Cricetulus griseus: one gene and its partner. The protein of the gene in region 1 purifies or fractionates together with the protein of each later gene. This does not show direct contact. Links are inferred from orthologs where the notes say so. Each region holds a gene or a part of one and is shown in the gene's direction. Other genes may lie near its edges. The genes, in order: Bmp2k and Ap2m1.

Evidence for each region.
Region 2: the proteins of Bmp2k (region 1) and Ap2m1 purify together in Homo sapiens (affinity purification with mass spectrometry; 3 studies listed by BioGRID and IntAct, counting the BioPlex papers as one, with this or other methods). This does not show direct contact. The link is inferred for Cricetulus griseus from reciprocal best matches to the Homo sapiens genes BMP2K and AP2M1.

Annotation. Positions count from the first base shown.
Region 1 is NW_023276807.1:159,391,470-159,395,286, forward strand, and holds part of Bmp2k (BMP-2-inducible protein kinase), read left to right. Parts: intron 1-1,664; coding exon 1,665-3,037; 3' UTR 3,038-3,817. UniProt on the Homo sapiens protein: May be involved in osteoblast differentiation.
Region 2 is NC_048597.1:68,100,441-68,104,357, reverse strand, and holds the start of Ap2m1 (AP-2 complex subunit mu), read left to right. Parts: upstream 1-952; 5' UTR 953-1,073; intron 1,074-3,150; 5' UTR 3,151-3,193; coding exon 3,194-3,267; intron 3,268-3,917.

The DNA of each region.
Region 1 (3,817 bases):
GGGCTGTAAGAGTCCCTCAGAAGCACCAAGTATGGAGAACACCTTTTAGGGGTAGTTTTGAAGGGCTGTCACGTGGGCTGGATCTTTTTGTGAATACATGTTCACAAGCCCTTCGGATGGATTGGGGGAGGTAGAAGGGCTCTCATACTGAGAGATGTTGGGACAGCAAAGCTCTCTGGACTTCCCGAAGTCTGCTGAGTTCCTGACTCTGATGCCTAGTTTTCAGGAGCTGGGTTTTCATAGGAAGAGCCCAGCTGTGGTTATAGTACTGAAGGATCACAGAAGCATTCACTCTTGGTAGCTGAAGACATGGCAGGGTAGAATGCACACACAGTGGAAAGTTTCAGAGCAACTAGAGAGTCCTGTGAGTGCTAGCCATATAATGGTGAGGAGGGGAAGCACACTGGGAAACTGAGTCACTCTGGGAGGGGTCATATGGGAATGAATAAACCAGAGAGAATGGTGTAGATCCAAGAAACCAAAGCTACAATAACTGGTACAGAGATGGTCTGGACATCTGCTGGCCAGGAGGCCTGCATATAGGTGGAGGTGAAGTTAATTTAGCGGGAACTGGAGATGAATACATCCTAAAAGTGGAGGTGGTGCCTTGAAATTCCCACCTTTCAAGTACTGGTAGGATGCATAGTCACAGGAGCTAAGTATTAGAGATGTCAAACTGGAATTTAGGATTAAGAGTCGAGTTAAGAAGACTAGTGTCAACCAGAACAAGGCAGTCACTGTACAGTTTAGAACTTGAGAGAATATGGAAGGAGAAACAGCCAAAGCTAGAACTCTGGGGGAATGTATATAGTTAAGGTGTTTAAAGTGTTAGTGGAAGAAAGAGGTCTACAGGGTTGTAAACATGACAGTGTGGATTTTGAAGAGAAGGAAATAACTGAGGCCACCATGCCAGAGATCACTGTGTGCATGATGGAAAGTGATAGTTCCTCCACCATAAGCTAATTAGTTTTTATGAGTACATATTGTACTTGCAGGCCTCAGTAATTGGAAAAAACCCTTAGTTAAATAAGGAGAGGAAGAGATAAGTGTGTGTAATTGGATCAATACAAATTGATTCTCACCTCTGGAAACACCCAGTTCAGAAGACCAGTAGCATATTCTCAGATAAACTAAGGTTTCTTAATTAAAGATGTGCCTGCCATGGAAGGCACACAGCTTTGGTGCAGTCTCATTAAGTGTCTTTGATAGTGGCTGTGTCAGAGTTGGTTCTCAGCTCTGATCAGTCTATGTGAGACACATGGATACTAACTTAAAATACTCAATTTTAGAGAGCAGATTGCAGACATAACACAGAAAACAACATGCTGACATGTAGGTAGGCAGAGACTATAGTAAAGAGAGTGGGTGGTCTGATTTTGACAGTGGAGAAGACCATTAATATTCTTGTCCTATTGAGGGTCCTGCTATTGTACAGGTGCTGTGAATGCAGTTTCTTTGTAGTGAGGGACTATGCCAAGCCTATGGAGATGAGAATATGTCACACTGCCTGCATTACAGTCCCTAACACCTACCCAGGAAAAGATCAGAGAAAGAACGGCACTCTCCTCCAGGAGGGGTCCTGGCGAGGTCCGTAATGTCATGTGCTTAGTACAAGTGGATACTGAAACTCTGAATACCGTAATGACTTTTCTTTGAACCTTTAGGTTCTCCTGAAAAGAAAACTGAACGTTCTCCAAATCAAAAAAATATCACTGCAAACCCTACCAAAAATGGGAGCGCAAGTCCACTATGTAAAGATCAGCGGGCTATAAAGAAAACCCCAGAGAACCCAGCGGTTCGGGGTCAAGTGCAGAAGGGGCATGACGAATCTGAAAGCGATTTTGAATCGGACCCCCCTTCTCCTAAGAGCAGTGAAGAAGAACAAGAAGATGAGGACGCTCAGGGAGAACACGGGGACTTTAATGATGACGACACCGAGCCCGAGAACCTGGGTCACAGGCCTTTGCTCATGGACTCTGAAGATGAGGAAGAGGAGGACAAACACAGCTCTGACTCGGAGTATGAACAGGCTAAAGCCAAGTACGAAACTGGTGGGGGGCGGAGCCCAGCCCCTGACCCAGCACTCCTCTCCCCCGCCTGTTCACCGACTGATGCGCTGACTCCTGGCCAGGAGTTTGATGTGTTCGGTGCGGTTCCCTTCTTCGCGGTGCAAGCTCCACAGCAGCAGCACAGGGGGAACGGGAAGAACCTCTCCCAGCAGACATTTCCGGAGCAGGAGGACTTTGATGTGTTCACAAGGGCACCCTTCAACAAGAAGGTGAATAATGTACAGGACTGGCCCACAGCGGGGCCTGACACGCGCCCGTTGCCTGCACGGCCCAGAAGTGTAGATATGTTTGGCTCCACTCCCTTTCAGCCATTTTCCACATCAGCGAGTAGAAGTGAGAGCAGGGAGGATGTTTTTGGGCTCGTGCCCTTTGAGGAAATAACCGGAAGTCAGCAGCAGAAAGTCAAACAGCGCAGCTTGCAGAAACTGACTTCTCGCCAGAGGCGCACAAAGCAGGATGTGTCCAAAAGCAATGGGAAGCGCCACCACGGCACACCCACCAGTTCAAAGAAGCCCCTGAAGCCTCCCTACCGCACCCCCGAGAGGGCCCGCAGACACAAGAAGGTGGGCCGCAGAGACTCACAAAGCAGCAGTGAGTTTTTAACAATTTCCGACTCGAAGGAGAACATCAGCGTTGCACTGACTGATGGCAGAGACAGAGGCAGTGGCCTGCAACCCGAGGAGAGTCTGCTGGACCCCTTTGGTGCCAAGCCTTTCCATCCTCCAGACTTGTCGTGGCACCAGTCCCATCAGGGCCTAAGCGACATCTGTGTTGACCACAATACCATCTTGCCTGGGAGGCCAAGACAGAATTCAGTGCACGGGTCATTCCATAGTGCAGACGCATTGAGAATGGATGACTTCGGTGCCGTGCCCTTTACAGAACTTGTTACACCACGTGAGTCTCAACAGTCCCAACCAGTCGAATTAGACCCATTTGGTGCTGCTCCATTTCCTTCTAAACAGTAGATACTCCAGGTGGACTCGGCAATAACTCCTGTTTCAAAAAAAGTATGAATAGTTTTATGAATCTGAAAGAAAATCTATTTGTATATCCTTCACTCTTACAGGTTAATCAGAATAGGTGATTTTTAAACAAACCAAATGTAAGTATCTGTACAGGGTAGTGAGGAATGCCTTCATCGAGCATGAAGTGGCCTAAGTGGAAAGGCCTAAGTGGGCCTAAGTGGAAAGCTCCAAGGGCTTTTGCTCCTGAGAGATACAACTGTGGGGCTTCCTGGGAACGCAGGTGTATGGCCACTGAGGGACAGGAAATCGTATCCCTTGGGATCATGTCATACAGGTGCACACCCCAGGTCCAGAGATTCAAGCCAGGCTGACTGAATGTTTGCACCCAGGAGGAAACAGCCTGCAGTGTGCTCTTCAGTTCATACACTTGCCTGTAATGTAGAGCCAGAAGTAACTGACTATTGTGCCTAAAACTCTGTTGCATTTTTAAAAACAAGTGCCATTAATAATGGACTCTATAATGAAAACTATATGAAATATTGTATATGTTAACTCAATTTAGCTCTTCCTATGGTATATACATCAAAACATGTATATGATAATATATATGCAATTTTTAATCTGTCAAAAATAAATTTTTAAAACATGGAATGCTTAATAGAAGCCTGGAACAAAAACGTAAAGAGAAATATCTGGCATTTGAAAAATGTAAAATAATGACACATCAAAAAGAAAAGCAACATTTGGTACTTTAGAAATAATACATTGAATGGAGTTTTG
Region 2 (3,917 bases), on another chromosome or scaffold:
AACTAGATTTCCCCATTCCACCCCACCCCATTCCTTTCCACCATATAGAAGTCTTGGGCCTGCTCAGCAACAGGATGTCTCTGCCTACAGAGGGACAAGAACCACATTTTCTTGATTTGGCAAGAACCAGGCAGGCTTTTTGTGTCCAGGGTTAGCTCCACCTCATTCTCTCAGTTTGGATAACATGAGAGATGGAATTTCTTAATTCCATGCCCAACTAAATTGAGGTGGGGTTGAGGCAGGGTCTCTTATGTATCCCTGGCTGTCCTAGAACTCCCAATGTAGACCAGGCTGACCTCGAACTCACAGAGATTTTCCTGCCTCTGCTTCCCCAGTGCTGGGATTAAAGGAGTGCACCACCAGCACACATAGTCACAGGTTTAGCTGAGAAAAGCGTTACCTAGTTCTGCCAAGAATTAGCTTTGCCAAGATTTGCCCTCCCCACTCTTCTCTTTGGATAATTAGCCCTGGGAGAGGCCCAGTCATGATTGTAATCGACACCTACCTTGGGAGAATCAATCCTGGTGTTAAAAAGCAGAGAATTCAGCTCTAACAGGCTCATGCCAAGTTCTGTTTGTAAAGTGAAGATAGCCAGTCTTCGGAATCTGAAGACAATTACAGACTACAGTAATTCAAAATTTACAACTGGTTTGGACAAACAGCTTTGATCTCTCAAAGCCTACCGAAACAATCTAACTAGGAATTGGAAGGATTGCAGAGACTACACTTCCCATGATACTCAATGAAGCAAATGAATGGGAGGAGTGTACTATGACGCGTGTTGCCAGCAAGACGCACTAAGGCTCGCGTCGGTTCTCTCGAAGGCCGTCGGTAGTTGTAGTTTTGCTAAACCTAGGGCGCTCTGATTTAGCAGTTTGAAAGCTGCGGGGGCTGACGGGACTTGTAGTCGCCGCTGGAGGCAAGTGCGCAGGCGCAGCTGAGATCAGGGCGGGGCGGGGCGGGGCGGGAGCACTGCAGTGAAAGCCGAGGCAGCGGACAGGCGAGCAGGGGGCGGGCGGACATCTTGGGATCCGAGAGTGGCCCGCCGGCCTTGTGGAGGCTGCTGACTCCAGGTGAGCTGGGAAGCTGGACTTACCGATCCTTACCGGGCTGGCGAGGGCGCCGTGGACCCCGGCCGTGCCCTGCACTGCCCTGGGTGCAAAACTGCCCGCACCCGGGAGTGGCCTCAGCCTTCAGACCCGGGAGGGAGCGGACGACCGGGCGGAGGTGCCTCGGGCGCGATTGCAGCAAGGGCGGGGAGCGACGCCCTCCAGTGACCCGCCGGGCGTCTCTGGGGAGAGACAGGGGCCCGAATCCTAGAGCCAGGACGCCGCGCGGCGCCCCCACCCCTAGAATCCTGGCAGCGCTCAGCCCTGAGGCGTCCCATCTCCCCCATCCCCCAGGACAGTGACATCCCCTTGTGCCACTCCCTTGGACAGTGACAGGTCTCGAACCTTGGGATATTCCTTCCTCCTATTTAACCCCCACGGCTCTTTCTCCTCAGACCTGTGACAGCCCCCGCATGCCGCGGTGCCATCTCCCTGGCCTGGATATCTCCTCCCTTGGCTGAGAAAACCCCACCGGCTTCTCAAGCCTCACTAACCGCAGAGTAGGCCTTGTCTCTCAGCTTTCCCTTTTTCTACTGTCAGTATGTCTCCGCCGATTTTTGCTCCTCAAAAGCACCTATGACCTTTGCTATATGAGAACTAATTTAGGGCCTCGCACAGCCGTCTTAGCTGCTGTGGGGTCACCCTAGTATATTGCTAGCAATTACAGCTAACCATTCCCTTAACTAAATATTCCATGTCTGTCCAGGACACACACAAGTACAACCAACCCCCATCCGCGGTTCCAGTGCCCTGAGCTACCTTCTGCTTGTTACCTGTGGACTTAGTCCTTTGCTCAGGACTCAACCTCCATTTTACATTTTTTTTTTCTCAGCTTCTTTGGAACTGTGAGATGCAAATGAGTCCACCACCTTAAGAGACTTGTCATTGGTCTTGGATTTATTTTCCAGTTTCAGAAAGTCTGTTAAACTAACTCCTGTGAAATTAATACCTGGGCTAATCCAGAAAATCTAGAACCAGATAACCCCTTTTCTCCAATAGTCTAAATTAGTTTTGACCCAAATACTTTGGACAATTGAGGCATTCTATGATCCCTGCCCATTGTTTCTAAATACCAGGCCTGAAGTGAATTACTGGTAGATCATAATTTAGATGGGAGGGTTAATGCTACACACAGACCTTATTTTTAATGCACTTCAAAATTTTGAAAGGACAGTGACCAGAAATTACTGTAGGAGAGGCTCAGCGATTTAAGAGTACTTACTGCTCCTCCAGAAGACTTGAGTTCAGATCCCAGCACCCATGTCAGGTGGCTCATCACTGCTTCACATCCAGCTTCCATACACACAGCACACACACTGGCATGTACATACATGAAGGTAAAATAAAATCTTTTTTAGGAAGAACTATAATAAGCTACTTGGGTTATGAAGTGTGTTTTGTCAGCACTGGGGGCCTCTGCTCCTTTGCCTGCTTATCTCACTGCCTGGGAAAGATGTACCTGCTTCAGCCACTTTCCTGCCTCCATGGGCCTGCTTTCCCTCCCCTACCCCCTCCTGCACACCCTTTCCTGGAATGTGTAGACTTCTAGAGGTTCATGCTCTGCTGCCTTCCTGGAAGAGTTAGTGCTTGCTCTAAGGTTGTGCCTGGTGGAGGTCCCAGGCTCAAGCCAACTAGAGTAATTTCTACTGCCATTTCTGCAACCGCAGGCAGGCCTTCTCAGTGAGTCACTGGAAGGAGCCTGAATTGGAGCCTGCACAGCAGGGGGTTGGAAAGAATCCTTGCTGAGCTCAGCACTGTGAAGAAGGGGTGGGGGTTACCCTCTGGCCCAACCCTTGGGAAAGACTAGATGAATGTGACCTTAATCATGGGCCCCCACGCTCTGAAATTGCTTTCTCCTATCCAGTGTGGAATAAACAGGAACTGGAGCCTAGCTGAGGAGGTGGGGCTTCCCTAGGAAAGCTGCAGGGTCACTTGTTAGAGGACTGAGTCAGGAAAAAAGCCAAGCCTGTATAGCCCCACTGGGGGCTTGGGCAAGGGTTCTGAAGATTTCCCTTACCCTACCCCCACCTTTCCTTCATAGGTCTGTTCTCAGAGCAATGGGTCACAGAGACTGAGCTGCCACCATGATTGGAGGTTTATTCATCTATAATCACAAGGGGGAGGTGCTCATCTCCCGGGTGTACAGAGATGACATCGGGTAAGTTCCTTGGCTGAGCATGCTGTACCCCAACCTCCCTGTCACCTCAGCCTGAGCATGCAATATAGCCTGGTTTCCATTTAGCCATTGGCCTAGCATCGAGACTCGGGCCCTCGGAATGACACCCTCCCCCCAAGCTGCCAGGCTTAGGAATGAATCCCCGCCCTTCCTGTTCCTGTATCTCTGAGGGTTAGGTCTGGTTGCTAACGATGAGTGCTTTCCCAGTCAGGTTGATTCTTCCATTCAGGAGGGAGCGCTATCTATCTCCAGTGGGTGTAGTTAGTACCAGGGCGAGGCACTAATCCATCCAAATCTTGCTTTCAAAATGCTTCTCATATTGAGAGTCTTCCCTAGATCCCTGTAAAATCCTCTTTGGTGGGTTGACTTGGCTGTTTTCACTTCTGGGCCCTTTCTGATTGTGAACAGGCTTGAAGGGCTCTGTGGGTCATGCTGCCTTTGTAGTTCTCTCCATGTCCTAAGTCCCTTAGACCTTACAGAGAGCTCCCTGCAGCTTTGCTTCTCTGCCTTACACCGTGGCGCTTTGCTTACTAAGATCCTCCACTGCTCTAACCTGAGGCTAGGCTCCTCTGGTACTTCCTACCTTGTGTTTCTTTCTCAAAGAGCTTGAGAGAAATAGTCATGGAATAGCT